5 linked regions of the Xenopus tropicalis genome follow. The main gene of each other region encodes a partner of the protein of the gene in region 4 in a complex. Links are inferred from orthologs where the notes say so. Each region holds a gene or a part of one and is shown on either strand. Other genes may lie near its edges.

The links.
Region 1: stx7 (region 4) and bnip1 share a complex: the UniProt entries of both Homo sapiens proteins name them as parts of the SNARE complex. The link is inferred for Xenopus tropicalis from reciprocal best matches to the Homo sapiens genes STX7 and BNIP1.
Region 2: stx7 (region 4) and bet1l share a complex: the UniProt entries of both Homo sapiens proteins name them as parts of the SNARE complex. The link is inferred for Xenopus tropicalis from reciprocal best matches to the Homo sapiens genes STX7 and BET1L.
Region 3: stx7 (region 4) and vamp7 share a complex: the UniProt entries of both Homo sapiens proteins name them as parts of the SNARE complex. The link is inferred for Xenopus tropicalis from reciprocal best matches to the Homo sapiens genes STX7 and VAMP7.
Region 5: stx7 (region 4) and stx5 share a complex: the UniProt entries of both Homo sapiens proteins name them as parts of the SNARE complex. The link is inferred for Xenopus tropicalis from reciprocal best matches to the Homo sapiens genes STX7 and STX5.

The regions. Positions count from the first base shown.
Region 1 is NC_030679.2:43,443,174-43,449,441, reverse strand, and holds the start of bnip1 (vesicle transport protein SEC20), read left to right. Parts: upstream 1-2,311; 5' UTR 2,312-2,341; coding exon 2,342-2,425; intron 2,426-2,504; exon of another isoform or gene 2,505-2,741; coding exon of another isoform or gene 2,742-2,771; intron 2,772-3,688; coding exon 3,689-3,781; intron 3,782-5,186; coding exon 5,187-5,278; intron 5,279-6,026; coding exon 6,027-6,128; intron 6,129-6,268. UniProt on the Homo sapiens protein: As part of a SNARE complex may be involved in endoplasmic reticulum membranes fusion and be required for the maintenance of endoplasmic reticulum organization. Also plays a role in apoptosis.
Region 2 is NC_030680.2:24,000,809-24,007,096, reverse strand, and holds the start of bet1l (BET1-like protein), read right to left. Parts: upstream 3,849-6,288; 5' UTR 3,756-3,848; coding exon 3,737-3,755; intron 3,500-3,736; exon of another isoform or gene 3,438-3,499; intron 1,493-3,437; coding exon 1,401-1,492; intron 965-1,400; coding exon 908-964; intron 111-907; coding exon 1-110. Other genes in the region: sirt3.1 (NAD-dependent protein deacetylase sirtuin-3, mitochondrial), read right to left, coding at 5,951-6,163. UniProt on the Homo sapiens protein: Vesicle SNARE required for targeting and fusion of retrograde transport vesicles with the Golgi complex. Required for the integrity of the Golgi complex.
Region 3 is NC_030684.2:65,373,798-65,380,152, reverse strand, and holds the start of vamp7 (vesicle-associated membrane protein 7), read right to left. Parts: upstream 4,044-6,355; 5' UTR 4,012-4,043; exon of another isoform or gene 4,010-4,011; coding exon of another isoform or gene 4,006-4,009; intron 4,000-4,005; exon of another isoform or gene 3,714-3,999; intron 3,065-3,713; exon of another isoform or gene 2,884-3,064; intron 1,197-2,883; coding exon of another isoform or gene 1,189-1,196; coding exon 1,043-1,188; intron 1-1,042. UniProt on the Homo sapiens protein: Involved in the targeting and/or fusion of transport vesicles to their target membrane during transport of proteins from the early endosome to the lysosome. Required for heterotypic fusion of late endosomes with lysosomes and homotypic lysosomal fusion.
Region 4 is NC_030681.2:70,299,821-70,306,086, reverse strand, and holds the start of stx7 (syntaxin-7), read left to right. Parts: upstream 1-2,790; 5' UTR 2,791-2,898; intron 2,899-4,620; 5' UTR 4,621-4,686; coding exon 4,687-4,765; intron 4,766-5,556; coding exon 5,557-5,626; intron 5,627-6,266. UniProt on the Homo sapiens protein: May be involved in protein trafficking from the plasma membrane to the early endosome (EE) as well as in homotypic fusion of endocytic organelles. Mediates the endocytic trafficking from early endosomes to late endosomes and lysosomes.
Region 5 is NC_030680.2:36,552,407-36,558,548, reverse strand, and holds the start of stx5 (syntaxin-5), read left to right. Parts: upstream 1-2,447; 5' UTR 2,448-2,516; exon of another isoform or gene 2,517-2,539; intron 2,540-6,142. UniProt on the Homo sapiens protein: Mediates endoplasmic reticulum to Golgi transport.

The sequences.
Region 1 (6,268 bases), on a different chromosome or scaffold from region 4:
CACTTAGTGGAGAGGGCAGCACTACTTATAGTACTCCCTTCAGACCGATACACACACCCCACTTAGCAAAGAGTATAAGCATACGTATCAGTATAAAGTATCCCAGGAAAGTGCAAGTGCTACACAAGACACTTCTACAGATTAGGTATATAGCCTTGTGGAGAGTTAGTCCCACACGAACTTAATGCACAGAAATAAAGAAGCCCCTTGTCCCGGCCGGGAACTTACTCGGGTATAGACAAAGGGAGGAACAGGCTCCTTGAAGCGGCTGGACGCCGTTCTCCTTCCTCCGGTGACGTCACCGGTACGAGCCGAATCCCAAAGTACGGGTCCTCCCTAGTGTCAAAAAGGTCCGACGCGTTGGACACGCCCCTGCCTTAAAGACTCTACCTCTACGTATTCCTTTACAGAATTATTTGCTAACACTGACCCTGGATGGGTAGCTTTCTTTCACCTGCTGCAGCACCACCTTCGCAGTGCTCCTAGGTAAGTGATGCCCTGGATTGGCACAGGTACAATAAACAGTCCAACAGAGACAAAACAGCACAGGCATTTGCCCCCTCCCACACTTAATAGACTCTGGAATGTGATGCCAAGCCAAGGGCAGCAAGTCACTAAAAAGTCATAATCATAAAATGCACTATGTTTGCCCAGGATCAGTAACTCATAGCAACCAATCAGCAGGTAGATGCACTGGTCAGCTGTTTAAAAGCAAACATCTTATTGGTTGCTATAGGTTACTGCTACAGGAAAAAAGTTGTGCCTTTTAATACATATGTGGGTATGAACACTGTTATAGGAATAGTTCAGTGTAAAAATTAAACTGGGAAAAATAGACTGTGCAAAATATAAAATATTTCCAATATAATTAGGCAAAAATGTAATCTATAAAGGCTGGAGTAAGCATATGTCTAACATAATAGCCAGAACCTGACTTCCTGCTTTCAGCTGTCTAACCTCTTAGTTAGTCAGTGACTTTAGGGGGGCCCACATAGGACATAACTGTTCAGTTAGTTTGTGAGCAGGCAGGTCAGATTCAAATGCAAATTAACTGAACAGTTATGTCCTATATGGCCCACTCAGGTCACTGATTGGTTATTGATTGCTAACAGCTTAGAGCTGTTCTGGCTATTATGTTAGACATCTGCCCACTCCATTTTCATTTTTACACTGAACTGTTCCTTTAAGATAGTCACAAGGAAAATTATAGACTAACCAGGCAATTATTTTAAACAAAGGAGCACCGGGGGAAGAGGAAAAGGTAAAGTACTGCATGGCAGGGCAGAAGCGATAAGAGGTGGGTTGGGAACCATACAAAATAACCCCAACATTATTTAATTTACTTGTGCCAAGAATAACTTTCTTCAGTTTTAGAATAATACAGCAGTGAATCATCAAGCAGCATTTACTTTTCTGGTCTTTAAAATTAATTATCTGATTGGTTACTAGGGGTATTTTTGTAATGAAAAAATGCAGAAAGTTGGCCAGTCATGTTTGTGCCCAGATGTGCAGCTTTCAGCCCCAGAAACATCCCTCTCAAAAGGGAGTAAAATAGATGATAGGTTCGGGACAGGTAATATTCTGAGCCCCAGATGTTGCAGAAAAACAACCACCAAAATTCTGTCCTCCCTTATCTGAACCACTGGTGGGAGCTGAGGGTTGTAACTATAGATCACTGAAGTACCATGGGCTCATGCAAAGCCTCCTATAGTTCTCCTTTCCACAGCCACATACTGCTGCCCTTACTGTACTGTACCCTTTCCACTCATACCCCGAAATATCTATTATTTTTATTATTAACAAGCATTTATAAAGCTCCAACATATTCTGTGTTTATGTACAGCAAAAAAGGGTCTCTAATGTCATTCAGCAGGAAACCCCATAGTCCAGTCTAAGCCTGTTTACATTTGAAGTTGACTGTTCACTTGCTTTAAGGGTGAAGACACACAGAGCTACTTAGTAGCAGCTAATTGTCACAGCTACTAAACGCCAGAAAATACCCTGACATAGACAATACTGAGAATTACCTCTGCCACATAGAGACAATTAACAGTAAATGATCAGCATTGTCTATTTCTGTAGCCGTGACAAGTAGCTGCTACTAGTAGCTCAGTGTGTCTTCACCCTAACACCCCTTTGAACTGAGCAGAACGTTTCTTATTGTGTGCGTTTTCCCAAAAGCACCTCTAGATGTCTCTGTGCCCCCTCATCGCTGTCCATACGAGCAAAGAAATTACCTCTCCATACAGCAGATGGCGCAAAGGTTTATTTTTGTCTTAGTCAGAGTCATCGGTGCATGGTATTTTGTCCCATTCCGCGCACCGTTGTTAAGCCTGTCGCGATGGCAGATTCGCAGGATGTCCACGTCCGAATTTGTCACCAGGAAATCGTTAAATATGACCTGGAGATCAAAGCGCTGATCCAGGTAACGCAGTGGGGTGCTGAAGGGGTGATCGCCATTAATAATACTGACTTTCTACATGCAGGAGGCAGTAGGGAATTCAGCTTACCATTAAGGGTCCGAGTTTGTAATATTCCCTATGCAACGCCACCTAGCGGCAGGCCGAGCTTACGTACCAGTTCCGAAGACTCCAAACTCAATGGTTTATGTTTGAATGCGGACTGGTGTAGCGTTACCGGCATGTACTGATAGTTCCCTACGGTCACAGCCTACTGTATGGTTTGGTTAACAGAGCCTGGCAGTTTTATTTTCCTAAATTATTACATGGGCTTCCTGCTACATGTTCCATGTACTGCACCCTAACAGTTATGTAGGTATAATACATTTAACTGGCTGATAACTGAAATAGCTATAATGCTTTCCCAGCTAATGAGCAGTGCTGCTATCAGTACTCATAGGCTCTATACTACTGAGTTAGCAGGGGGCCTCAAGTTTAACCCTCAAGTTTAACCCTTCTGTCATCTGGGCCATTATGAACCAGAATTAACACTGACATTAGTTGTTACCAGTGGCATAAAATAAGGTCAGGCTTCCAAGCAAAAGACTTTTCCGGGCCCTCACATGTTGGGGTGAGAGCCACTTACACCCTCGGCCACATAGTGACCACCACCTTCGCCTCCATGCTTGCAGAGCCAGAAGTAGCTGTAACCATACAGCAGGCCATCTGGATATCTGTATGCTAGTTAGCCAGTGAATGTTAGTATATCTTAACCAAAATGTCAAAATATCAGCACCCAGTAATCAAGTCTTTGTCACCAGTAATATCTTTGTATAGAATAACTTCCTAAAGCTGATACCTCAAGAGAACTGAATCCAAGTGATTTTGGTCACACTTATGGCACACCAAGCCTGGGATTCAAAATAGGCCCTGGCACTTCAAGTACACAATGTCCCAAACAGTGTCTGTCTATGGCTTCTTACAGCAGCCCCTCTGGCATTTGCCAGAATCCACAGATTGCCAATCTGGGCTTTTTGCACACCCAACCACAATTTATTATGCCTTGACTACACCCACTTACAACCCAACTTTATCCTTGGCTGGAGGCTGGTGGTTACTACCAGCATATTAACTGTCATTTTTTAATGACGTTTGCTAGGCATCTCATGTGCCACTATGTCATTTCAGTTTGGGAACAGCACAGCAGATGGTACTTTCTCATTGGATCCTTATCCCCCTAGCTCTTCTGTATTGTATGTAGACGTTTTAAAATGATTTGTCTTTTATAGGACATCAGAGAATGCCCTGGTCCTCTAAGCACCCTAAATGATTTCAATGCTCAAGTCAAGGAAAAATTCCACCTGCTGAGGCTGAGAATACAGGTACATTGTGTAATTTAGTAAAGACATTGCATTTTTGAGGGAAAAACTGGCTAGGTAATTAGAAATTCTTAACCACAAGAGAGGTTGATAATAAGTAATTGGGGCCTCTGCCCTATGATTAAACTATATTTTAAAACATTAAAAGTCCATTTACTGCCTATAACAGGGATCCCCAACCTTTTTTACCCGTGAGACACACTCAAATGTAAAAAGAATTGGCAACACAAGCATGAAAAATGTTCCTGGGGTGCCAAATAATGGCTATAATAGGCTATTTGGTAGCCCCTATGTGGACTGGCAGCCTACAGAGGCTTTGTTTGGCATTATATTGGGTTTTTATGCAACCCAAACTTGCTACCAAGCCAGGAATTTAAAAATAAGCCCTTGCTTTGAGGCCACTGGGAGCAACATCCAATTGTTTGGGGAGCAACATGTTGCTCATGAACCACTGTTTGGGAATCACTGGCCCATAATATTGGGAGCCCTCAAAGCAAAGCATATTATTCGCTCAGAGTTTTTTTCTAAGCACTTTTGCAAAGTACATTTTTTCTACTTTCTCAGTTATTAGAAGTTATTTGAAGTGCTGATTATTTTAGGCCAATGGGCTAAAAGTGGCTAAAAATGAATTTCCTGAGAAAAGAAACATTTTAAGGTGTTGCTCTCCCTAGAACTGATCACAGAAACACCAGAGACTCCACTTTCTAAGCAGAGCATCATTACAAAATGTTTCTTATCTCAGGCAATTCATTTTTAGCCAACAGTAGCCAGTCACAGTAGCCAGCCAGCTGAAATATCCAGCAGGTGGCGCTGTTGTTTCAAATATGTTATATTAGCCCAGTGATCCCCAACCAGTGGCTCGGGGGCAACATGTTGCTCCCCAACCCCTTGGATGTTGCTCTCAGTGCCCCCAAACCAGGTAGTTATTTTTGAATTCCTGACTTGGGGGCAAGTTTTGGTTGAATAAAAACAAGATTTCCTACCAAATAAAGCCCCTGTAAGCTGATAGACTGCATAGAGGCTCCCTAATAGCCAATCACAGCCCTTATTTGGCACCTCCGTTAACTTTTATGGTGCTTGTGTTGCTCTCCAAGTCTTTTTACATTCGACTGTGGCTCATGAGTAAGATAGGTTGGGGATCCCTGTATTAGCCATTTCAAAACAGCTAATCTCTTTAAAACTAAAATAAAAATAATTAAAAGTAGTTCTAAGAGTACTTTGCACAATTTTATAGTCATTTGTCTTGATGGATTACAGTACTTGTTTACTTGCTTGGATTTACAAAAAAAAAAAAACATTTTTGCATGAATCATTGCTCATCACCAAAAGTGATCACCTTTAAAGTCATCCAGGTAATAGTTTTCTAAACCTATAATTGGTGATATACTTCTTTGTTATTTTGGAAAAGGATTTTGAACAGTTGGCTAAGGAGCAGGATAAGGAATCTGACAAGCAAGCATTGCTGAAGGAGATGGAGTGCCACAAGAAACAGATGTTAAGGTGTGTATGGTCTGCTGCTTACATCTTGAGCTGTGCGAAAAATGGCCCCATAGCTTAATAAATAAATGTTATATAAAACAGGTGAAGAACTTTTCTTGCTTGCCTCTCAATATGTTTACAACACAAGGTTAATCAATATTGCTCTGTAGTTGTCCTACAAAGCTGTCCTGCAGTTGCTCATACATGTTTTGGCTGAGACATACTCTCTCTCTGCTTTCCCATTAGCCCACATGTTGCTGGGTGAATTCTAAGCTCCCCAAGGGAATTGTTGGTCAGTGACCAGTACTACACACAGTTCTACTTTAGTGAAAGGTGGCTTTGTGGTATTTTGCTGTGCTAATTAAGGCTGGGAATCTTTGTCAGAGACCCAACATCATGGGGAACAACCCCATGCCTACCTTCAGCACCTTGACCATGTTGTGCTGACTCTGAACTTTGCACCCCTTTCTCGGTAACTAGTATGAATGACTAGTGGCCCTATTTTAATGCTTCTTACAAATAGGGAGGTGGTGCTGGAATTTGTTACAGGTGAAAATAATTCAACCTATCTTTTAAAAATAATCTTTTAGATCATTATAATAATACAACCAGTGTATAATTTCAATCATCTACCATATCTGCCTTATATGAGGTTGCTCTTGTAAACTCTGCCAAATCTTATGCCTTTCATATTTGATTGTGTGTGCATTTTAATTTTTCTTAAGCAAAATTAACAACTGCTTTTCATCCATTGTGATGTTGATTTCAGCAACCAGACTGTGTGGCGAAAGGCAAACCTTTCATGCAAGCAAGCAATAGATAATGCAGAGAAGGATGAACTGCTCGATGGAGGAGACCCTACAAGGCAGAGGTACAGTGTTTTTGTTAAGAGGGTCATTCTGCAAGTCTATAGAAACTGCTTCTAGGGTGTTGATTTTGAAGACAGTTTAGACTGCTACAGACCACATAGCCATTTCACCCTTTCTTTCATTAACCCTTGTTAATCCCTTC
Region 2 (6,288 bases), on a different chromosome or scaffold from region 4:
GAGGAAACGTAGCACAAGAGCTTGCGATTGTCCCGCCCAGACCGAGCCATACCGGTGAAGCGCTTGACACTGCCGCTCAGCAGTCCCGTCACACTCAGGAAATCAGAGTCCTGGGAGGAATAAGGAGACCAGTACAAGCCAATGAGAAGTACTTCGCTTACAGCACACACTGTTCATTATTTATTTATGGTTTTTGAAAATTTGCCTTCCTTTTCTACATTCTTTCAGCTTTCAAAGGAGGGTCACTGACCCCCACAGGCAAAACTATTGCTCTATGAGGCTACAATTTTATTGTTATTGTTACTTTTTATTCCTTAACTTTCTACTTAGTCCCTCTCCTATTTATATTCCAGCCTCTCATTCACTGCCTGGTTACTAAGGAAAAGACCACCCTGGCAACTAGATAGCTGCTGAATTTCCAAACTGGAAACTGCTGAACAAAACCCTAAATATCTGAAAAACCATAAAAATGAATACATTTAAAACAAATTGCAAATTGTCTCAGAATATCATTATCTATGTCATACTAAAAGTTCTGCTAAATCCTGAAAGTACATATTGCTGTCCCATTAAACTCCTCCCTTAAGCTGGACGTAAAGAATTAGAAATGGGTGAGAAACCAGTTATTCAGAAAACTTTTCCCATAAAGTTATTTTTTTTTTAATGATTTCCTTTGTCTCTGTAATTGATGCTAATTAAACTATCCTTGTGTTTATATTATGTTTATTTTCTGTAGTAGCCTTAAGGTGTTCTAAATTATGGAAAACAAAATGTCACTAACATTCTGGATAACAGATCCTAAACCTTTACTATAATTATTATAAATATATATATATATATATACACACACAACAGATAATGAACAGACTGTTTTGTACAGGGATTCGAAGTATCTATAGAGTCTTACCATGCCATCCAGGTACTTGTTATGGTCATCAGCCTCTTTGTCAATGTCCAGTGCAAGCTGTAAAAAAAAAAAAAAAAGGAACAGATTGTGATATCCGAGTGATTATGCAGGAACAGAGCCCAGGCAAAAGAGGCAGAAGTGCCCTGTACTTTATGCATACAGTAGGAATTGTTAGAGAGGCAGAAGTGCCCTGTACTTTATGCATACAGTAGGAATTGTTAGAGAGGCAGAAGTGCCCTGTACTTTATGCATATAGTAGGAATTGTTAGAGAGGCAGAAGTGCCCTGTACTTTATGCATACAGTAGGAATTGTTAGAGAGGCAGAAGTGCCCTGTACTTTATGCATACAGTAGGAATTGTTAGAGAGGCAGAAGTGCCCTGTACTTTATGCATATAGTAGGAATTGTTAGAGAGGCAAAAGAGAAAGGCGCTGTGAATAGAGGCCTACACATCAGTTATTTATTCCTGTAGAATATCTACCACTCCTACTTACTGATTTCAGCCTGGTCACCTTCGAAGAAAGATTTTCTGACAGCCGTTTGTTCTCTGCATCCAACATCTCATCCACTGCTCCTGAATTTGGCCCTGTAAAAAAAACAAAGAGCAACTGAATGGCAGGTTTTTCTTTTTTGGAAGGGGAAGGGACAGTGGTGCCGGCCCAACAACGCGGGGAAGGGACAGTGGTGCCGGCCCAACAACGCGGGGAAGGGACAGTGGTGCCGGCCCAACAACGCGGGGAAGGGACAGTGGTGCCGGCCCAACAACGCGGGGAAGGGACAGTGGTGCCGGCCCAACAACGCGGGGAAGGGACAGTGGTGCCGGCCCAACAACGCGGGGAAGGGACAGTGGTGCCGGCCCAACAACGCGGGGAAGGGACAGTGGTGCCGGCCCAACAACGCGGGGAAGGGACAGTGGTGCCGGCCCAACAACGCGGGGAAGGGACAGTGGTGCCGGCCCTGAATCACGAGAGTGGAAACTAGAATGAGACTGTCAGGATGTAAGAAGGGATTTCCAGGATGCCCGACTGCTGTCTCACCTAATGCACAAACACATCCCCAGACTAAAGTCCTCATGTGTGACGTGCATTTAACATAATCAATAAAGCCAATTTCAATATATATCAATATATATCTGGCCATGGCAAGGCAGATCCTAGTGCGATATGGCCATAGTCACATATGGGCAGAGTTTCTCTGGGCCTTTTTGCAATATACATTCATTTCAGAAACCCCAGGGTTAAAAGAAACTACAAATGCATAGACAGTCAGGGCCACAGTCTTTTCGGGCATTCAAAGAGAGCTGATGAGCCGAGGTCTTCCTGGCAGCACGTATCTGCTACTGACTCACAAACCATTAAAACTAGAAAATCAATGCACACTGCAAAAGTGCTCAGAGACTGCTAAGTTTATAGCAATTCCCCTTCAAGGAGCCGACTATAACGCACTAAGAAAGTAACCTGGAGCCCTATGAAACCCTCCCCCACCCCTATTATGTCTGAAATTATTACAACAGCCCCTCAGATATCAACAAGAGAAGAGAGAGGCACCCAAATGTGTGCTTATTATAATATTATTATTATAAGTACAGGAAATCATTGCTTATGGTGCCGTACCCACGCACAACACTAATACACTTCCCCAGCCCAGTAACGAGCAGAGAGATCTCCAACTCCCCTCACACTGGGGACTGCTGGTACAGACTGCAACACTATACAGACTGGTACAGACTGCAACACTATACAGACTGGTACAGACTGCAACACTATACAGACTGGTACAGACTGCAACACTATACAGACTGGTACAGACTGCAACACTATACAGACTGCAACACTATACAGACTGGTACAGACTGCAACACTATACAGACTGGTACAGACTGCAACACTATACAGACTGGTACAGACTGCAACACTATACAGACTGGTACAGACTGCAACACTATACAGACTGGTACAGCAACTGGCAACACCTATACAGACTGGTACAGACTGCAACACTATACAGAACTGGTACAGACTGCAACACTATACAGACTGGTACAGACTGCAACACTATACAGACTGGTACAGACTGCAACACTATACAGACTGGTACTGGTAAGACTGCAACACTATACAGACTGGTACAGACTGCAACACTATACAGACTGGTACAGACTGCAACACTATACAGACTGGTACAGACTGCAACACTATACAGACTGGTACAGACTGCAACACTATACAGACTGGTACAGACTGCAACACTATACAGACTGGTACGACTGCAACACTATACAGACTGGTACAGACTGCAACACTATACAGACTGGTACAGACTGCAACACTATACAGACTGGTACAGACTGCAACACTATACAGACTGGTACAGACTGCAACACTATACAGACTGGTACAGACTGCAACACTATACTAGAGACCCCCACGACTCTCTAATGACTCCTAGAACAGTCTCAGTCTACACAGAGTAGAACCCCCGCACCCTGAACACTGTGTAGTACAGAGTATACAGCACATTCCCATACTGACCTTCCCTAACAGAGAAATCACCCACCAAAGGCCTTCAGAGTACTTCCCCATACAGCCCCCATGGAGACCACCCCTAGCATAGAGCCCCACCCAGGACAGAGTACCGCCCCCAAACATTAATTCCAGCATAGATTCCCTCTCAGTTCCTTTGCTTTACGCTTAATATCCCAGAGCGAATCCCACGCAAACACCTTCTCTGTTTGCCAGGCCGCTGCCCCCACTCTCTCGGCATTCAGGGAGCACTGATATCCTACATAACACACGTATTTATCTCACACAAGCACCCTAGACCCCAGTACCTCTGCCCCAGTCCGCCATCTTGGATTCTTCTAAATGTGACGCGGCAGGATATTACACGTCACTAACGTCACCCTCACAGCCACCAATACGCTTCAACCTTGCGTCAGTGCGTCAAGAAAGGACGGACTGTCTCATTAAGCCACGCCTATTAATGTTTAGGCGTTCGCTGTTGCCATGGAAGCAGTTTATCCGAATTATCCTAATATAAAAAAAATAAAGTGAAACGTGCACTCCTTTTGCTTCTCCTACTTTGTGTGTTGTGGCTAGCTCCGCCCCACATGGCGAATCTCTTGGGGGATCTTGGGATTTGTGGTCCAACAAAAACAGTGGAAGCAGATTACACATTACAGCTCAATACTCCCCCCACATATTCTCCAATTTGGAGCCTCTCTCAATGTAGTTTGTGACAAAAAAGGCTTCCAGTGCTTTAAGGAATGGCGACACCAAAAAATGAAAATTATTTCAAGTAATTAAAATATAATGTACTGTTTCCCTGCACTAGTAAAAGTTCTTTTACTTCATAAACCCTACTCTAGTTTATATATACAAAGCTGCTGTGTAGCCCTGGGGTTATGGTTGCCACCTGTCTGGTAAAAATGATGCTTAGTGCCAATGTTATTATTAGAAAAAAAAGATAAAAATATAGGAAGGCCGGTATTTATTTTCAGAAAAGGTGGCAAAAAAAAAAGAGGACAAAAGACAAAAAACTGATAAGCTCTCTAGAATACAATGGGAAACTACACTGCTTATCTATTATCAGCTGTGTAACCTGTGTCAATTAGGGCTCTTGCACACGGGGAGATCAGTCGCCCGCGACAAAACTCCCTGTTCGCGGGCGACTAATCTCCCCGAGTTGCCATGAGCGAACATGTGAACATGTAAGTCGCCGGCGGGATGGCACACGCGGCGGCGCGATTTCACGAAATCGCCGAAAAAGACTCGCGAGGTGACTAATCTCCCCGTGTGCCAGAGCCCTTAGCCTTATTTCAGTTTGATACAGCTTTGTTTATATAAAATATAGTTGAGATTCTAATGCAAACACAACTTACCAGTGCAGGGCAATGGTACAAAATATAGTGACTACTGTGATACATACATTTTTTTGGTGTTACTGTTCTTTAAAGTATGTCTTAGTGCTGGTGTTGGAAATCAGGGCGATTAGTCACCGTGACTAATGTGACTACTGTGGCTATAACAATGCTGACTTGTCCCATACAGCAAATTCCACAGGCGGCGACCTGTATGTTCATGTATGGAAATATCCATTATGTCGATTAGTTTCGGTGATTGTGTTTTTAATTGTCCTGTCTGTCTTTTACCTTAGATACCAACATGCAGTCTAATCTCATACCATGTACCGCCTGAAGATGGCCATACACGGGCCGATACTAGCTGCCGATATCGGTCCCTTAGACCGTTTCAGCAGCTCATCGGCCCATGTTGGGGCAATAACGACGGGCCTGCCTGACCGATACCTGGCCTGAAATCGGGCAGATATCGATCGGGCAGTTTAAAAAATTTAGTCGGATCGGGGACCGCATAAGGGCTAAGATTGGCTATTAGGTAGCCTCTATGCACACTATCAGCTTACAGGGGGCTTTATTTGGTACTAAATATTGTTTTAATTCAATCAAAACTTGCCACCAAGTCAGGAATTCAAAAATAACTACCTGGTTTGGGGGCACTGAGAGCAACATCCAAGGGGTTGGGGAGCAACATGTTGCCCCCGAGCCACTGGTTGGGGATCACTGTATGAGGTGGGGGATTCTGAAAATGTACCAAAATACTTTGTTTGAGCCACAATTTGTGTGCATTTATTAGAAGGAATATTGACTACATGATACAACAGGAAGAGACTTTCAGAGGATTCTGGATATTGTAGTTCTGCACTTTAAAACTAATAAAGCTAGGAGTGATTGGTAAAGATGGTGTTTAGATTTAGTATTTAAAAAGTATCTCTGATGCAAATTATACAGTTCTTTCAGGTTTAAAAGTAATTTATAATATGAGTTCAGCACAGTACTGGATGTTTATAAATAGGAATTGTTAGGTCCATTGATCATTTATATAGCATAAAAAACATCATTTTTTTTTATAACCTTTGTTCCCTATGGTGGATGTGTGTGGTTTTTGAACTCAAGATAAATAAGGTATTGTTCATTCCCCCCTGGATCTGATCGGTACTGAACTCTTTCCTCTGAGTTTACAAGCTGTTAGTGTTGTTTTCCATTCTTCTCAAGCTCCTCCAGCTCCTGCTGCCACCCCAGAAACTGCACAAATTGCTTAATTCCAGCTGTCACCTCTCCAAGCTCCAGCACATTGAGCCCTTGGGGGCCACTTACAAAAGGTCCAACGGAATCACGGTTAATGAGGACACGGGGGGTTGATGCTCGGACTGCATAAACCAGACTGGCAAATGGCTCCACCTGAAAAAAAGTGCAACATAACATTGGATATTATCTGTTTACAGTTGTGTCTGCAAGAAGAATGAAGGGGAAAGCTGGGCATACAGGTATCAATAAAATCATAGGTAACTAATTTTCAGTACTAT
Region 3 (6,355 bases), on a different chromosome or scaffold from region 4:
AAAGAAGAACTAAAGCCTAACTAAAGAAGTAGGGTAGACAAGTTGTACATTATATTGGGCTTCTGTACCAGCCCAAGCCAACCACAACCCTTTAGCAGGAAGATCTGTGCCTCAATCATGCCCCAGTAGCTCCCCATCTTCTTTTTTGCTGATTCACTGCACATGCTCTGTGCTGCTGTCAATAACCTGAGCTTAGGGACCAACAAACAATATACTGTATATATACAGGCTATAAATCACAATACAAGGCTGATCAGTGAATAATAAATTATTAGTACATGGCAGCTCTGAGCCAAGTGCAATTAGCATGGGAATATACTAATCCTCCCCAAAGCATCAGCTTATATGACAGGCAAACCTAATTTTTGTTTGATCATTTGCTACAACCCCTACGCTTAGCTTCTCAAATCACACTTAGGGGCCTATTTATTAAAGTACGACAGATACGAATTACAAAATATTTGTATTTGATCGTACTGTGTGTATTTTCTGCAACTTTTTCTAATGTTGCGACAAAATCGTATTGTCGCGCCGAGTACGATAGTTTCGGATTCATTCAAGCTTCGGTATCGTGACTTTCCTTGGGCCAGGTTGGAGCTGCAGAGTACCATTGAGTCCTATGGGAGGCTTCCAAAATCATGCACAGAAGGATCAAAGTCAGAAAGGTTTTCCTGCTGTTTATGATCGTTCGGATCGCCAAAACGATATTATCGTGACTAATATAATTTATTTGTAAGCATTTTCGTGTTCATCAGAAATTATTGTATTTAATCAATTCGGGATTCAAACTCATACTTTGATGAATAGACCCCTAAGCATGTGAATGTTGCAGAACATTCTAACAGAATCCAAGATACAGAGCTCCTGTGACAACTATGAAGGCAGAAATCATTACTGATAGAGATGGGGAACCTTTAGGTTCATGTAGTACGTTTAGTATATAAAACACTGAATTTCTAGCCATAGCGGTTGGTAACCCATTGGTAACTCTCTATATAAAATTTCCCCATTGATAAATCCATAAAAACATTAAACAACAGACCTTCCATGGGAATAAGTGAGTTTGTTGTTTTCAGATGGGATCTTTGCTAGGATCTGCTCCGTCACCTCCAAGAAGTTCCCACCGCACCAAGCATGTTTTGCAAGTATGGTGGTTCCTCTAGCAACAACAGCAAATAGGATAGCCATGCTTGCACCTGAAACAAAAAAAATAATCCAGGTTAGCATAGGTTAGGAGGAAGCATTTGTCAGTCTATTTACTTACGATAAAATCATGTGAAACATAAAGCTCCAATTGTTTTTCCAACTATTACACTTAGGGCTGTGACACATGGGGAGATTAGTCGCCCGCAACAAGGCAACTTCCATGATTTCGGGAAATTGTGGCGCCGTGTATGCCATCCCATGGGCGGGATGGCGTTTCAGGGAGATTAGTCGCCTGTGACAAGGGAGATTTGTCGCGGGCGACTAATCTCCCCGTGTGCCATAGCCCTTATAGTGCTTACACACTAAATGGAAGAGTGTTAGTGCTTCATTTACATTAGAGAACCCAAGGATGATTGCACATATGTATATTATTAGCCTCTGCCAACATGCAAAGTCTGCATTCAAAAAACATACTAAACACAAGCTGTCTGTTCCAAGCATTCCTCATCCACTCTCATAGCTATTTTGTAATATTATTATCTCTTAACAAGTAGCAAGGACACCATGGCATTGTTGAGCACAAAGCTGGTATTGGCATCCTATCACCTTCTAATCTAATGTTGTGAATTATGTTATGCATGTTCATATATACATGCTCCACAATTTTTGCATGCATTTGTGTTAGAAATTGTGGGGGCAATTGGCAGCAGCAACCTTAAACAAAATTTTAAATGGGATTTCTTAACTATTAGCAGTTATTACACAATTAGCCTTAGAAAACAAAATGCTGCAACTTCCCCAAAAAATGCTTCTGCCCACTTTTAGGCAAGGGGGTGGATGTGGTTACTGTAATTAGCTTTATTACAGTCACTAGAGCACTATATCTGGGTTTCAGCTTGGGTCTTGCAGGTAACAAGTGCAATGCAATAATCTTCTGCTCAGTACTGGGACTTCAATGGATCAAGCTCTCTTTCTAAATATTTTTTTTCATCAAATACATCACAACACAGCACAAAGCTTGCTTTGAATTCACTAGCATAATATAAACACAGGGTAAATACAGAAAATTTTACTTCAAATACTCCTCACTATTCCTCAGAACATTTGCACTACTTACTGATAACCAGTTGGCAGAATAGGTTCAGGAAGAACTGAACAAATAATGCACCACAAAGTGGGGGGCTTTAACCAAATATTTGTCAATGAAAATCTTCTGTTTTTTCTAAGGATTTTATTTCATATTACATTGTAGTTATAAATGGTCAGTCGCTGAAATAGCTCCTGAACCTAGTGAAACAAACATATGGAGACCACTTAAACTACATCAACAGACTGTGACCAAACCTAGAACTCCTTCACTGAAAAGAATCATCGCAAACAATTGCTTTGTTGTTGGAATAAGAAGTGTCAGCACTCTAACTAAAATCCACAGCACAGGTTTCAGCTGAGACAGGGCTAGTGGCATGACAAGTTTTTCGGGCATGAAAACAATTTATTTTTAACTTTACTTTTTTATGAATGCTCTGCAGATTTGCTAAGACATCTAACTGTAAAACAAATTGTGCTGGTCTGCTTAGAGAAACATGTTTATTTGGTGAAACAACCCCCGGTTTCCAAGAAAAAGGTAGAGAGGTTGTGTTGCATTATATGGGCGAGGCCCTGAATTTTTCATTGTAAATGCCTATACACAACCTCTGTTTTCATTATAAGAGAGTACAACATTTAAAGAGATATTACCTAGGTTCTTCAGAGTGACAGCAATGTGGCATTTCCTGAGAAGAGCTCTTATTTCTTTAGGAGCAGCAATTGAGAGGGTAACTAGGAGAACATGTGATGCTTGCAGGGCTTTTAATTTCACTGGCCCCTGAGAAGGGAGATTAGGATGTTAACCCACACCAGTGAACCTGACAGCTCCCATGGAAGGAGTGGGGCCATCTCCTGAGGGTTGACAAGCACAGGAGAAGAATAGAAAGAAATGTGCTATTTGTCAATTTGCAGGAAGCATTTTTATGATAGAATTGCCCAGATTGCAAATGTATTTAAACTGCGTGATTAAAATGCTAAGCAAGTAACTGGCTTCACAAAACTTAGGTCCCACTGACTCAAGCACGAAAACAAAATTCTTCAGCCTACATACTGCCATCAATCCCTTACACACTATGGAACCTCACACACTGCCATATATATAAACAGGTATGCACACATCGTGACTAATATAAAATTGGTAAGTATGCTAAAGTGATACTGACACCAAAAACTAATTTCAAAATATGAATATACATAAAAGTTCCCTATAGGTTGTGTTGACGGTTTTTCGCTGACAGGTTTGGTTTTGTAAGTAATTGTTACTTGAAGTTCCTAAACCTGACTGTTTTGCCAACCTGACTGTCCCTTCCCAACCTGTCAGTTACAGCTTCTAATGCTAACAGACAAATATGGCTGCCCCCTCATAGAGGAACACAGGGGATCAGACAGGTAATGTAAACGCATCAGGCAAATATTTTTATGGCAAAATTATAAAGTTCTTGCAAAGACAATGTTATGATAGATGTAAAAAAAAGATTTACTTTCTGGCGTCAGTATCTCTTAAAGCAGGAGCAACATCAGGCGGGAACAGTAGTCCCAGCACCCGTAGGTTCAGCGGTGTTGCCCTTACTTGGATTACTGGCCGCTGCTGTCAGTGACAAAACGAGCAAAACATAAAGCTGTATATGTGTAAGAACATGCACCCTAGCTATCCCCTCCCTTCTGAAGTCTGCAGCTCACTGACAGCAAGGGGGCGGCTGATCCACGTAAGTACAAACTGCGCAACAGTCCCGACTTTCCTTAAACAGCCCGCAGTCCCGGTTCGCTACTTACACATACCGCAAAGCTGTTAGCTGCAAGCGCCTCACTTCCTATCTCACGGAATAGCCTGACGTCACAACTGCACGTAAGCGCAAGGACGCACACGTAGCCGCCATGTGGGAGTGACGAGTAGAGATGCCGTAATTAAATTAGACAATGAGAAGCGGCTAGAGGTGGCCATAAATCCGCTCCCAGTCCCACAAAAAAAAAATAGAAAAAGAGAGTTTTCGTGTTGGTTGTCCGCCGTGTTTTCAGACATCAGTATTTCCTCAAAAGAGATTTACATTTTCATCTTAAATTTTCAACTTGGGCCATTGCTAATAAAAAGGAAGGAGTTTTTATGCAAACTAGAGCAAAGTCAAATAATGAAATCATCTTTTAGTTTGTCGTTTGAGGGCCCCAGTATTTTTATTCAAGCCAGGGGCAGTGGAAGGGCTAATTTAGGAAAAGACAATGGGTTAAATTGACCAAACGTTTCCTGTGGACTTTTATTTGTGTTGGTTCCCTGTCATTTTTGCGCTAGGTAGTTCCAGGGCACCAATGAAAACCAGTGCTGGAAAGGGTGTCATGGAGGAGTTAGATCACACCGACTGTCATCCATGGTTACCCATAAACAGACTTTCGGTTATTTTGAGTTCTGGTCAGTGTGAAAACAAGGAGAATATGTTTTTGCAATTTAGGGGCAACGTATGAGTTAATTTAGGAGAATCTAATGGGAACCAGCAGTAATCCTCAGCTGTTAGGCTCTACTTTTATGGTTATTATTAACATTTATTTATAAAGCGCCAACATATTCTACAGTGCTGTACAATAAGTGGGTTTCATACATTGGACATACAGAGTAACATATAAAGCAATCAATAACCAATTTTGGAGGCCAGACATTTTTTCCTGCTGTCATTTGAGCCTCTTCTAATCTGACTAAAAAGGAAACTGTTTTTGTGCACACGGGCCAGATAAAAACTTAATTTAGGGCCAGGTAAAATTTAGAGTCTTAGGTAAAAAGGCTTGTTTGGGCACTTGAGATGGAAAGTTGGCCCTGTGCCATCTTACACATAAGAATGAACAAGGTTTCTGTAAATAAAAAAGTTTAGTTGAATTGTTAACCAATGGCCAAACAGCAACAAATTCATGGGCTGAAACCCCTCAAGCAAATGCAAAAAATGCATACCTCCCAAATGCCCTGCATCGGCTTCTCTCCACAGGGGGAGAGACACAACGAGGCAAGTCTTACCGCACACTGAGCAATTTCTCTGCCAGTGTAAAAATACTTCTTGTATTTGCATTTTTTGCACAGAATCTGCCAATTGTGTGTAGTGATAGGTAGGTCTCAGTCATTTCTGTCGCTACATACATGGGATGGATATGGAACAGCCTTTTCTCAGCAGAAAAAATATCAATTGAAATGAATATCTCTGATTTAAGCATAAGAGCATGTATGCAATTTTGGCCTGAGCTGCTTCTTTCACATCCTTATGTGAGTATATTGAAGGGTTCAATCTGTTTTAACCATTAGGCCAAGGGGGGGCTGATAATTTTGTTGTATGGGCCCCATGATTTCTGATGGGAGCCCTGCCTGCTTCCCTGTTGTACAATTACATGCACATTCAAAGTTTCAGTAACTCTTCTCAAAGTTTTCTCTGTATCACAAAACAGAAGAAAAAAGTCATGCTGATATACAGTTAAAGACCCAGAGTAAGTGTACAAATCAGAATTCACTTAGTCTCACATCTAACCCCACTCCCTGGGCTAAAGTTGTAAAACCAAACAAAGACTGAAAGTTATGTTCTCTCTTCCCTTCCTGGAATTCACATTAGCAGCCAAATAACATGTGCCCAGGGGGCAACAGCATCATGGCCTCAAAATAGGAGCGGTACAGGAGGTGAAATTCACTAGCTATGAATGGCCTAAAAGAGCCTGGGGCAAGGTTGTCTTTGAGCATATTAGCCCACTGGTCCTCCCTAATCTTATCTCTGCTCCCATTCCTGTGTTAATATGGGAGAGCAACACCCCTAGTCCCACCACATAATATAATACCTTGCTTTCTTTCCCTGGGTGGGGTGTATTGTGCCTGAGTTTGGCAGCTTCACATGACAGCATGTGTGATCTGCAGTGGAGATCAGTTTTATTGGAGTCGGCATATTGCACAGGAAAAACTAAGCAAGTATTGCTTACCATGTGACCACTAGATGGCACTATTTGATTAAAGTGCATTGATGATAATTCACTTTATTTGATAGTAACATTTTAGGTCTTACTCATACTGGTAGTTACTTAGATAGAACTATGAAAATACATAATCAATTTTACTTAGCCATCACTTTCTATAACTACCTGTATACTACAGTATGTCTAAATCAGG
Region 4 (6,266 bases):
TTCTAAGGCTCTTTACTCAGGTGTGGTAAAGCTTTCTGCTAAATAAATATAGCATTCTAGGTGGCACTAATCTGGCAGTAAAATGCCAAAATGACTTTCCTTCTCCTTAAAGATTTTTCTCTCCCTAACAACCAATTGCAGTGTGATCTGACAAATTCGGCAAATTATCATAGGGTTAGTGAGCACCGAACAGTTGCACATTTGGAAAATATTCAAACCTGCCCAACCGATTTTCAGATGAAAAATTGCTACATCAAAAATCGGGCAGGTTTGAAAATTTTTCGTTAGAAAAACCATCAGATGGTTCAGTGCCCACTAACCTTATGATAATTTGACATATTTGATGGATTGCAACTTAATTGGTTGTTAGAGAGAGAAAAATTTTTAAGTGTATGGCCACCTTTAGCAATTAAATTTGCCAATTGTCCAATTGTTTGTAGGACCAAGCAGGTAGTTTCTCCAGCTTCAACTTGACAATATTGCTTGAAATGGTTATTCTTATTGATGGGCAAATCGTACTTTTAAATTATCGTTTCAAGATAAGCCTGGTCCTACGATAATAAAAATCTTAACATGTATAGCCAGCTTTAGTCTAGGAGACCAGTTTATAGGAGGTTGCAATAGTCTAAATGGGATAGGATAAGGGCATGGGTTTGCAATACTGTGAAGGAAAAACAGGAAAATCTGCAGTGGCATTCCTATGATTTGAGAAGGAAAAAGACTTGTCAAATCAGCAGGGTTTATGGTCCCGCCATCAGTATTAATGGTAAAAGAAGAAGAAAATACAGGTTTAATTATAGGTGGTATTAGTTCAGCACAATTATGTCTGATTTGTGTCAAATACAAGCACAATTGGTCATTTTTGACCCATGGGCCACAATTGCATCAGACATCCCTCTTGTGATTACAACAAAGCTGTACTTCTGAAAAAAATGCTGCATTGTGGGGAAAAAAACATGGCAATGGTGCCCAAAATAGTATTTCTCTCAGAGGCATCACTTTTGCAGTGAAAGTTCTCTATAGACAAATGGTCAACCCATAGGTTTTAGAACTTCTTGCTTTAATGTAAAGGTAATGAATATAATACACAAGTTTTGGTGATTCAAGTGACAGAAATTACATCACTAAGCATAATTTATAAGGATTTACAGGATTTTCATGGTTCTTATGTATTATATACAGATGAAGTATTTCACACAGTTACACCCATTCATAAAATAAATGCCGTATAGTGTGATTGAATGCACCATTAAATCTTGCCATGTAGGCATAAAAGATATAATGGGCAATATTTAGTTCAATAAAAAAATTATCTACTAATTTTCCCTGTATATTTCTACTGGGTTTTCACGAAATAAACCACATTGAAGTCGGCTTTTTTACTCTACTGCATATGTGCAGGCCCCAGGATTAGAGCAAAAGAAAAAGAAAGGAAGAGGATCGTTCGCCTTCATGTACTACAGGCAAGTGCAATTTTCTGCTAATAGGAGCACCAGCTGGTTTCACTGTGGCTAAAAATTAATCCTATTCTTTATTGCAACTCCCTATAGATCCTATCAGGTCTCTGTCCATGTTTCAAATGAAGGGTGGGATTGTTCTAACAGTCCCTTGCCAGAAGCACACCAGGAGGAGGATAGCCAATCACAGCCTTGCACTCACACAAGCAAAGACAGGCTTCAGTTCTCTATCAGGTCAGCCTAGCTGGTTCCTATCCTACAGTGCACGTACTGAGAGCCGCCGGCTCCCCAGTTTTGGTGGAATTTCTCAATAAATCAATCCGAAACACAACTTTTTAATATCAATCCTTCCATATTTAATGGAGTATAATTCACTGGTATATTCTTTATTTTTAATGTCTTCTTTAACTGGTAAAGTTCCTGTAATAAACTGAAAATTTGAGTCATTTCAGTTCTGTTTTTGAGGTTTGCTTCATTCTTGCGCATCATGTAAATGAAATTCAAACACACAGTTGAGGAAAAAGCTGTTCTCTGGTTCAAAATTGACCAAGCACAGTCCTATTAAATGTGCCAAGCATTGCCACCTTGTAACTAGTTCTCAGTACACATGAATAAGTACACATGCACAAATTATAGTTTGTAAGATTGTTGTATTTATTTATAAGCAGTTAGGTTTAACTAAACCAGAGACTGAAAATCAGTTGTCATAAATTTTCAGTTTGTACCTGCAGTCTAAGCAAAGGATAAAAATAGGCATTTGTTAAGGAATAACACACTATTAAAGGTGTTGCAAAGACACTAATGAGCTGTTTTGCAAGCATGGACTTAGCACCTAACTCACTTTCCTGCACTTATGTGTTCTGACTTGGGTCTTCGTATTCTCAAGAGAGGAAACCTTCTCACAGTTCATTGTACCTGCCCCAACTGCTGCTGTTAAACAAACACCTCTGAGCCCTATTACCACTTTTAGGTTATCAATACCCCTTGGAAATGTAATTTAACAGGTTTATGTCAGCGTCAGTTAAAAAAAGGAGAATGTCACGGATCTAATCCTTAGAGCTGAGGATGTTAAAACATAATTAAAGCTGTTTATTACACCAGGGTATATTTAAATTGTAAACAGAGAGCTTGCAGAGGCTCAATTGAGCAAACAAGAACGTTAAAGTAAACCTACACTGATTTAAACAATTTGATATATACCCGCACACTTCATTAAATAAATAATTCTTTATTTAAGTAGTTATAGTAGGAGTAAGCCAGATCTACAGCAGCACGACTCTGTGACTGCGTTACACTGACTAGCCCCTGTCACAAGGCAGTACGTGTGCGTCATTGCGTTACGTGCAGCCGTGCGTCACTATCGCGTGATGAGACTTGTGGCTTTGGGATTTTCAGTAAAACAGGAAGCTTGGAGCCTGCAGGTGACAGTTTTGCGGAAGGTGTAAGTGTTGATTCTGGAATGCGGGCTGTGTTTAGGAAATTGGGACTGGTGGATTGTTTAGGAAAAACGGGACTGATAGTATGAAAGTTGTGTAGGGGAAAAGAGTATGCATTTACCCTAGCCACCAAAATCGCTTCCGAAGTCTGAAGCTCACTGACAGTAGGGGTGGGGCGGAAATCCATTGTATTAGCGCAGCCGGACCCCCCCTTAAAATACCCACTGGGTCCGGGACAACTGTCCCCTTTGTCTACCCCTGGTGACTGCACTGCCTTAGTGTTTCCAGTCGATTTCTGCCTGCACTAGTGTCTCTCATACGTCTATTGAGACACAAAATAACACAGCACTGTTACTGTATGTTGAAAGAATTACCTTGTAAAATGATTTTGTAACAACAGTATCAATTAAAAGTAATAGTTCATCCTTTAATGAATTATTGTGTAATTGTCCTGTGATTTAATGCAAGATGTGGGAGTCTTTCTCTATCCTGCTTTTCAACAGACAGGCTTGCAGATCAGCTGATTAGATCATTATCTTCCTCCCAAGGACCAAAAATGGAGTTGCTTCAGTTATGTAACGCCCTTTAAAAATTGCATTATGACATGAATTACCCTTTTAAGTAGGTTTTAGCTTAAAGGAACAGTTCAGTGGAAAATTTAAACTGGGTAAAATGTATACGCTGTGTAAAATAAAAAATATTTGTAATATAGTTAGTCAGGCATATTTGTCTATAAAGGCTCTGTGAGCAGATGTCTAACATAATGGCCAGAACTTTATTTCCTGCTTTCAGCTCTCTAACCTCTTAGTTAGTCAGTGTTTTTGAGGGGGGGGGGGGTATAACTACTCAGTTAGTTTGTGAGCACACAGGTAAGATTCAAATGCAAACTAACTGAATTGTTATGTCCCATATGCCCCCCCCCTCCAAGTCACTGATACATTTTTGCCTAACTAACTATATTGAAAACATTTTTTATTTTGCACAATCTGTTTTGGCCATTTTCATTTTTACACTGACCTGATACTTTAAGGATGAAGACACACAGAGCTACTAAGTAGCAGCTAAGTAGTGTCATGGCTACTGAACACCAGAAAATACCCTGCCATAAACAATACTGAGAAATGCGTTTAGTAGCCATGACGAGTAGCTGCTGCTAGTAGCTCCATGTGTCTTAAAGGAACAGTAACACCAAAAAATGAAAGAGCTTTAAAGTAATAAAAATATAATGCACTGTTGCCCTGCACTGGTAAACCTGGTGTGTTTGCTACAGTAACACTACTATAATTTATATAATAAGCTGCTGTGTAGCCACGGGGGCAGCCATTCAAGCTGGAAAAAAGGAGAAAAGGCACAGGTTACATAGCAGATAACAGATAAGTTCTGTAGAATACAATAGTGTTTTATCTGTTATCTGCTATGTGCCTGTGCCTTTTCTCCTTTGAATGGCTGCCCCCATGGCTACATAGCAGCTTATTTATGTAAATTATAGTAGACTTTCTGAAGTAAATACACAACTTTTACCAGTGCAGGGCAGCAGCACATTATATTTTAGTTACTTTTATACACTTTCATTTTTTGGCGTTACTGTTCCTTTAACCCCAAAGCTGCACAAAGTTGATTCATACTGTAGTGGAAGCAAACAAAAGGTGTGTAGGTATTGCCATCAGCTTACAACTGTCATGCAGAAAGATGATGCATATTTGCTTACTTAGTTTTATCACTTCCAGATTCCTGTAGTACTCTACATTGCCTTGACCTCGTCAAGAAAAAAGTGGAGTTGACTATATTCGACCATGTCTTACAGTACTGGCCAGGATCCAGCTCAGCTTGCCCAGACCATATCAGGCAATATTCAGAAAATCACACAAAGCTGTAAGTTACAGTCTTTTTTAGCAGTTGTTAAAATTTAGTTTGTCATTTGTCTGAAAATGACTTAAAGGGAAACTATCATAAAGACAAATATTTGATGTAAATGTCACGTCATGGATATAACAAACTTTCTCTATATAACTGACTAAAAAGTCTGTATAGTTTCTGAAATAGTCAGGTTTCTCTTAACTCTGCCCTTTTAAACGAGCACTCTCTCTAAATGCAGGCATACATCATACATCATTGGCCTGTGCTCCCCTCCCCTAGCCTAGATGATAGAAATGTCTTGAGTGAAAGATTTTTGACACAAAGTTTGCATGTAGAGGCTGATTGCTGAGGGGAAGATAGTAAAGAGTGAATTGATTTTTTTTTTCTTTTAGAAATTAAACAGACATTTTCATTGCTTATATCACAAATGGTACAGAGTTCTTAACTGGTTTTATTTAAAAACTTTAATATTTCTATGTTATTATATTATTTTGTTTTCATGATTTTTCTTCATTAAATAGATATGTTTTTATGACGCCATTTCTTTTTGCTGCATTGTTTTGTTTATTTTTGTCAGTGGTCACTTGAGCAACCAACCAGGGTACTGTAACTGATCCCATGTACTTGGACTCCTCAAATATGCATACAGTACAACTGCACAGATTGTAATTATGCTCAGTGTTTCCCTCTCCCCAATGAAGGCACATTTTGGTACTGACAGATATAATGTTTAGGGGCTGCACAGTAATGACATGCGTACATTTCTATTTTATTCTGTTTTTATATCTATTCCATTCGCCTTATAGCTTCTGAAATACAAAGGATAGTAAATCAACTTGGAACTGTACAAGACACAGCAGAACTTAGAAATCGTCTGTAAGTCCAATTTTTCTTTTCTTTTTACTATTTATTTTTTTTTTTTCAATAAAGTCATTGAAGTGATTGAAACACACTAAGGGTTTTACCAGTTCCTATCAATGTTTTATAAAACATATCAGTATTACTTTTTCTAGTGCTATTTCTTAATTTTAATACCAATTTTCCACTTACAAAGAGACGGAACATGTACAGAGAGTGTTCAAGATCAAAGAAAACACTCAGAAAGGGATTCTTGTGAGAAGAAACCACAAAGCTAGCCTTTTGTATTGCACCACTCAATCTGACCAGTCAGGTTTGTAACAAGTTAATAAATAAAATGTAACTTTTATTACTTTATTTAAAATAAACTTATGCCACAAAGGAAAATCTGTTTAAAATCAGGGGGGAGAATCATAACAGGAAAACTGTTGTGGCTCACAAAAAGAGTGATCTATCTGGGGACCACCATCTGAGGATTGTAACTGATATTAGCTGATATTAAATTGGGATCAGTGATTCAATTCTAATCACAACTCTCCACTCACTGTTATGTTATAGTGTATTTGATGAAACTCAATTTTTCCTCCTAGACACACTTAAAGAGTGTTCTTTAAGTAGTTGGTATTTATTATTTCACTGCCCCGGGGCCACCCATCAC
Region 5 (6,142 bases), on a different chromosome or scaffold from region 4:
TGTTTAGTACATAGACCTCTTGAGTCTGCAGGTTCTAAGGGAAACCACCCATTCACAGCAGAAAGTGCTACTAATTCATCCCACAGCAAGTCAATAGAAATGTTTCAGGTGACACTGTAAGCTTTCTCTAAAATACATGTAATTGTCCATATAACTTTAAAGGAGACATATTGGATCAATGGGAAAACCCCTAATTTTGTAGGCAATTATAATATATAATATATGGTGCTGGTTTTACTTTGTGCTAAAAATTAATCCTATTTGTAAAAATGGCCCCTTTATTGGAGCTCCCTATAGATCCTATTAGTTCTCTGTGTTTGAAATGAGGGGTGGGCGTGTCCTAATGTTTCCAGCCAGAAGCACAGCAGGAGAGGGATAGCCAATCACAGCCCTGCAGTCACACAAGCAAAGACAGATTTCAGTTCCCTATCAGGTCAGCCTAGCTGCTGATTGGTTGGTTCCTATCCTACAGTGCAGTGTACTGAGTGCCACCGGCTCCCCTGCACATCCAGAGAATTCAGCCAGCAGGAAGTGATAAAGAAGCGGAGCACAGAAAAACTTAGAAATAAAAACATAAATTTATTTCATCATTTAAAAACAGGTCAGAGCATATTCACCTCTTTAGCTTAACGCGTTTCGTGGTAACACCACTTCCTCAGAAGCCCAAATTGTGACACCCTCCATTTGAATTTAAATAGATAGGACACACACCCATTCTTAATTGGCAACTCACTGTTAACCCTGAAGTGTGAAAAACAAGCACATATATGTCCATAGACGTGATGAAAACCTTGTATATATAAAAACATATAAAGAGCACCCACCCGGGTGCTTATCAATTATAAAAAACTGTACCCTCCAAACCACACATCATTTAGGTAAGCTTAGGTGTTGTATTAGTAACAATAATGATGATAGTAGTAATAATAATAGTAACAATAGATCAAAAAAGTCACATGTATTAAATATTGTTACAAGTTGTTTCTAAGTTGTATATATATGATTATATGTCCAATTGTCAGACCACAATACTAAACTAAAAGTATACATATAAACATACTGCTTCCAAAAATATTAATCAATTATATAGCGGTGTGGTCACATGATTATCAGTAGAAACAGGATAATTCCCATCATCTATTGAGGCCCCCATATTGCTCTGTTGTTTTCAACCGATATATCCAAAAGACCTCTCTCTCTGAAAGTTTCTTATCTATATCACCTCCCCTAACACTTATACTAGGTCTATCAATAATCTGAAAGGTCACATGATTACTACTTTCATGTCTCTCTATTATATGTTTTGCTATCGCTGATCTCGTGTCCTTTCTCTCTACGGCTGATAAGTGTTCCAGAATCCTAGTTCCAACCTTACGAATGGTTTTCCCCACATACTGAGCACCACACTCACATGTGGCTAGGTAAATGACCCCTTTGGATTGGCAGTTGAAATATTGGGGAATGGTGAAAGTAGCCAGCAGGAAGTGGAACAGATGGGCAGGACTAGTGGGGTTTTGGTGGAATTTCTCAATAAATCTCAGTCAGAAACACTACTTTTTTTAAGCACAATCCTTCTATATCTAGAGGAGTATAATTCACTGGTACATTCTTAATTTTTATAGGATATGTCTCCTTTAACGTCACAATCATGCATCACTTATACAATCAAGCAGGACTTTGAGTCTTTATGTTTTATAGGCTCCAGTACTCCAGTCCAGTTTTATGTTTTTTTCAAGGCCCCACCCTTAGGTCAATGCAACCTTGCAAATATGATACTGGTGTTATCTTACCCTTGTAACTGGTTCAGGTCCTTCCCAGCTGGTGTATTACAAGTAATAGCATTAATGGCAAAGTCACACAGGGCACTTTGTCACCAATGGTAAATCTGCGCTACAATGGGCGACAAAACGTCCCTAGCTTCCTTCTTGTTGGAAGTACTGGGAACACATATGCATCACTTCTGCTTCCAAAGTTGTCTCAGGGCAAAGGCACATGGGACATTTGTTGTCCACCGTAAATCTGCACAGCCCCTTTACAAAGCAGCTCCAGGTTACTTCACAATGCATGTTTTCTCACTAGCAATTCACATTACTGCTGGTGGCAAGAAAACTAGGTATGTTCTTCCATCTGAGGTAGCACAGATTTACCAAGTCAATTGAATAACCTAAAGCCATATGGTACTCTGCTGAAAGTAGAATTTATTTGCCCATTAATATCCACTTTAGAATGCTAGGATAGATTAACAAGGTCATGACATTAATTACATGGTTGTAAGGCCACTTAGAGTTAGCTAAAAAGAAACGCCATTCCACAATAACGCCTACGTATTACTATAGGCAACCTTTCCACTACTAATACGCACACTTCCGGGTTAGAAACACACCTCCGGACTGACGCACTCAGAGTGCGACTCGCGAAGTACAGGAGCCGGTGACGTGTGTGTACGTGGCGCTGACGTCAGCATTTTCCCCGGCAGAAACAGAAAGAGAGAGGGAGTAAGAGAGAAGCGGTGACCGGTGAGATTTACTGTAAGGGGGAGGTGTGTTTGTTTCTGTTCCTATAATGTGAGGGCGCGGGGTCCAGTAAGGGGCTCCTTGGGCTCATAGTTTGTTGCCCACATTCTGTGGGAGGGTTTGATTTTGGGGGCTTGCCTTCCGTGACGTCATGCCTGTGGGGGGGTCTAATGACACTAAAGGTGATAATCACTACACTGGGTGAGAATTGATGTTAAGATAATCTTGAGTACGCCGCATACCTACTAACCTGGCTGTCTGACTGGCCATGGCTGTGACTACCTGGCTGTCTGACTGGCCATGGCTGTGACTAGCTGGCTGTCTGACTGGCCATGGCTGTGACTAGCTGGCTGTCTGACTGGCCATGGCTGTGACTACCTGGCTGTCTGACTGGCCATGGCTGTGACTAGCTGGCTGTCTGACTGGCCATGGCTGTGACTAGCTGGCTGTCTGACTGGCCATGGCTGTGACTACCTGGCTGCCCGTCTGGCCATGGCTGTGACTACCTGGCTGTCTGACTGGCCATGGCTGTGACTACCTGGCTGTCTGACTGGCCATGGCTGTGACTACCTGGCTGTCTGCCTGGCCATGGCTGTAGCTGCCCGTCTGGCCATGGCTGTGACTACCTGGCTGTCTGACTGGCCATGGCTGTGACTACCTGGCTGTCTGACTGGCCATGGCTGTGACTACCTGGCTGTCTGATTGGCCATGGCTGTGACTACCTGGCTGTCTGACTGGCCATGGCTGTGACTACCTGGCTGTCTGACTGGCCATGGCTGTAGCTGCCCGTCTGGCCATGGCTGTGACTACCTGGCTGTCTGACTGGCCATGGCTGTGACTACCTGGCTGTCTGACTGGCCATGGCTGTGACTACCTGGCTGTCTGACTGGCCATGGCTGTGACTACCTGGCTGTCTGACTGGCCATGGCTGTAGCTGCCCGTCTGGCCATGGCTGTGACTACCTGGCTGTCTGACTGGCCATGGCTGTGACTACCTGGCTGTCTGATTGGCCATGGCTGTGACTACCTGGCTGTCTGATTGGCCATGGCTGTGACTACCTGGCTGTCTGATTGGCCATGGCTGTGACTACCTGGCTGTCTGACTGACCATGGCTGTGACTACCTGGCTGTCTGATTGGCCATGGCTGTGACTACCTGGCTGTCTGATTGGCCATGGCTGTGGCTACCTGGCTGTCTGACTGACCATGGCTGTAACAACTTGGCTGTCTGTCTGACTGGCCATGGTTGTAACTACTTGGCTGTCTGACTTCCCATGGCTGTAACTAACTGCATGTCTTGCTGGCCATGGTTGTAACTATTGGCTTGCTGGCCATGGTTGTAACTATTGGCTTGCTGGCCATGATTGTAACTTCATGCCTGTCTGACTGGCCATGGCTGTAACTACCTGGCTGTCTGACTGGCCATAGCTGTAACTACCTGGCTGTCTGATTGGCCATGGCTGTAACTACCTGGCTGTCTGATTGGCCATGGTTGTAACTTCATGCCTGTCTGACTGGCCATGGCTGTAACTACCTGGCTGTGTGACTGGCCATAGCTGTGACTACCTGGCTGTGACTACCTGGCTGTGTGACTGGCCATAGCTGTGACTACCTGGCTGTCTGACTGGCCATGGCTGTGACTACCTGGCTGTCTGACTGGCCATGGCTGTGACTACCTGGCTGTCTGACTGGCCATGGCTGTGACTACTTGGCTGTCTGACTGGCCATGGCTGTGACTACCTGGCTGTCTGACTGGCCATGGCTGTGACTACCTGGCTGTCTGACTGGCCATGGCTGTGACTACCTGGCTGTCTGACTGGCCATGGCTGTGACTACCTGGCTGTCTGACTGGCCATGGCTGTGACTACCTGGCTGCCCGTCTGGCCATGGCTGTAACTACCTGGCTGTCTGACTGGCCATGGCTGTAGCTACCTGGCTGTCTGACTGGCCATGGCTGTAGCTACCTGGCTGTCTGACTGGCCATGGCTGTAGCTACCTGGCTGTCTGACTGGCCATGGCTGTAGCTACCTGGCTGTCTGACTGGCCATGGCTGTAGCTACGTGGCTGTCTGACTGACCAAGGCTGTAACTACCTGGCTGTCTGACTCGCCAAGTCTGTAACTACTTGGCTGTCTGACTGGCCAAGGCTGTAACTACCTGGCTGTCTGACCATGGCTGTAACTACTTGGCTGTCTGACTTCCCATGGCTGTAACTAACTGCATGTCTTGCTGGCCATTGCTGTAACTATTGGCTTGCTGGCCATGGTTGTAACTTCATGCCTGTCTGACTGGCCATGGCTGTAACTACCTGGCTGTCTGACTGGCCATAGCTGTAACTACCTGGCTGTAACTGACTGGCCATGGCTGTAACTACCTGGCTGTCTGATTGGCCATGGCTGTAACTACCTGGCTGTAAGTGACTGGCCATGGCTGTAACTAACTGCCTGACTGGCCATGGCTGTAACTAACTGCCTGACTGGCCATGGTTGTGACTTCATGCCTGTCTGGCCGTGGTTGCAACTACCTGGCTGCCTGACGGGCCATGGTTGCAACTACCTGGCTGCCTGACGGGCCATGGTTGCAACTACCTGGCTGCCTGACGGGCCATGGTTGCAACTACCTGGCTGTCTTGTTGCCTATGGCTGTAACTACCTGTCTGTCTCTCTGGCTGGCCATGGCTCTAATAATAAATGGTCACTCCACAGAAACCAACTTATTGGGCAATTATTACATTACCTGCCTTGGCAAGTGGGGCCCAGATTTTTCTGCATTAAAAAGTAAGAAAGCATTGCTGTTGGCCCCATTGGGGTACTATTTGGTGGGCCTCCTTCAGAACGCTTCTCCCCAAAGGAGGTGCTAAGTACTTTATGTTTTGTACATGATAAATGTCCAGCCTGCTTGGTCATACATGGGCAGATAACATAACACATACAAAGCATAACATCATGTCTGAGATCAAGACTGGAGTTTTACATAAAAATGTATTCTGATGCATGTAATGCAGTCAATGCTGTATGCCAATATTCTTAAGAGCATCCCTTGGTTTCTTTTTATTGGACTACTGAAAATCAAAGTAATTAAAATGTAATGTATTGTTGTGCATTTGCTTCAGAAACTCTACTATAGTTTATATAAACAAAGCTGTTGTGTAGCTATGGGGGCAGCCATTTAAACTGAAATAGGGCTAAATGGTACAGTTTACATATCCGGTAATAGATAAGCACTGTAAAACATCATTGTATTCTACAGAGCTTATCTGTTATCTGCAATGTAACCTGTGCCTTTTCTCCTTTTTTCTTGCTGGAATAGCTACCTCCATGGCTATACAGAAACTTTATTTATATGAACTATAGTAACCTCTCTGAAGCAAACACACAGCATCTTGGGGCAAAAGTATATTACATTTTATTACCTTAAAACACTTTCATTTTTTAATGTTACTTTAATGGTTTCCATTACCTTGTTATGCTTATTCTCTTTTCACTTATTCCTGACTGCATTAGTGTACATACCACATGTTTGTGCGCTGTCTGTTTTAGCTCTTGGCACTCCAGGCATATTAGTGTGGTCTTTAATATTCATTTTAAAAATGTTACTCTACATTGAGTGTTTAAATAGAATACCCCTTTTCA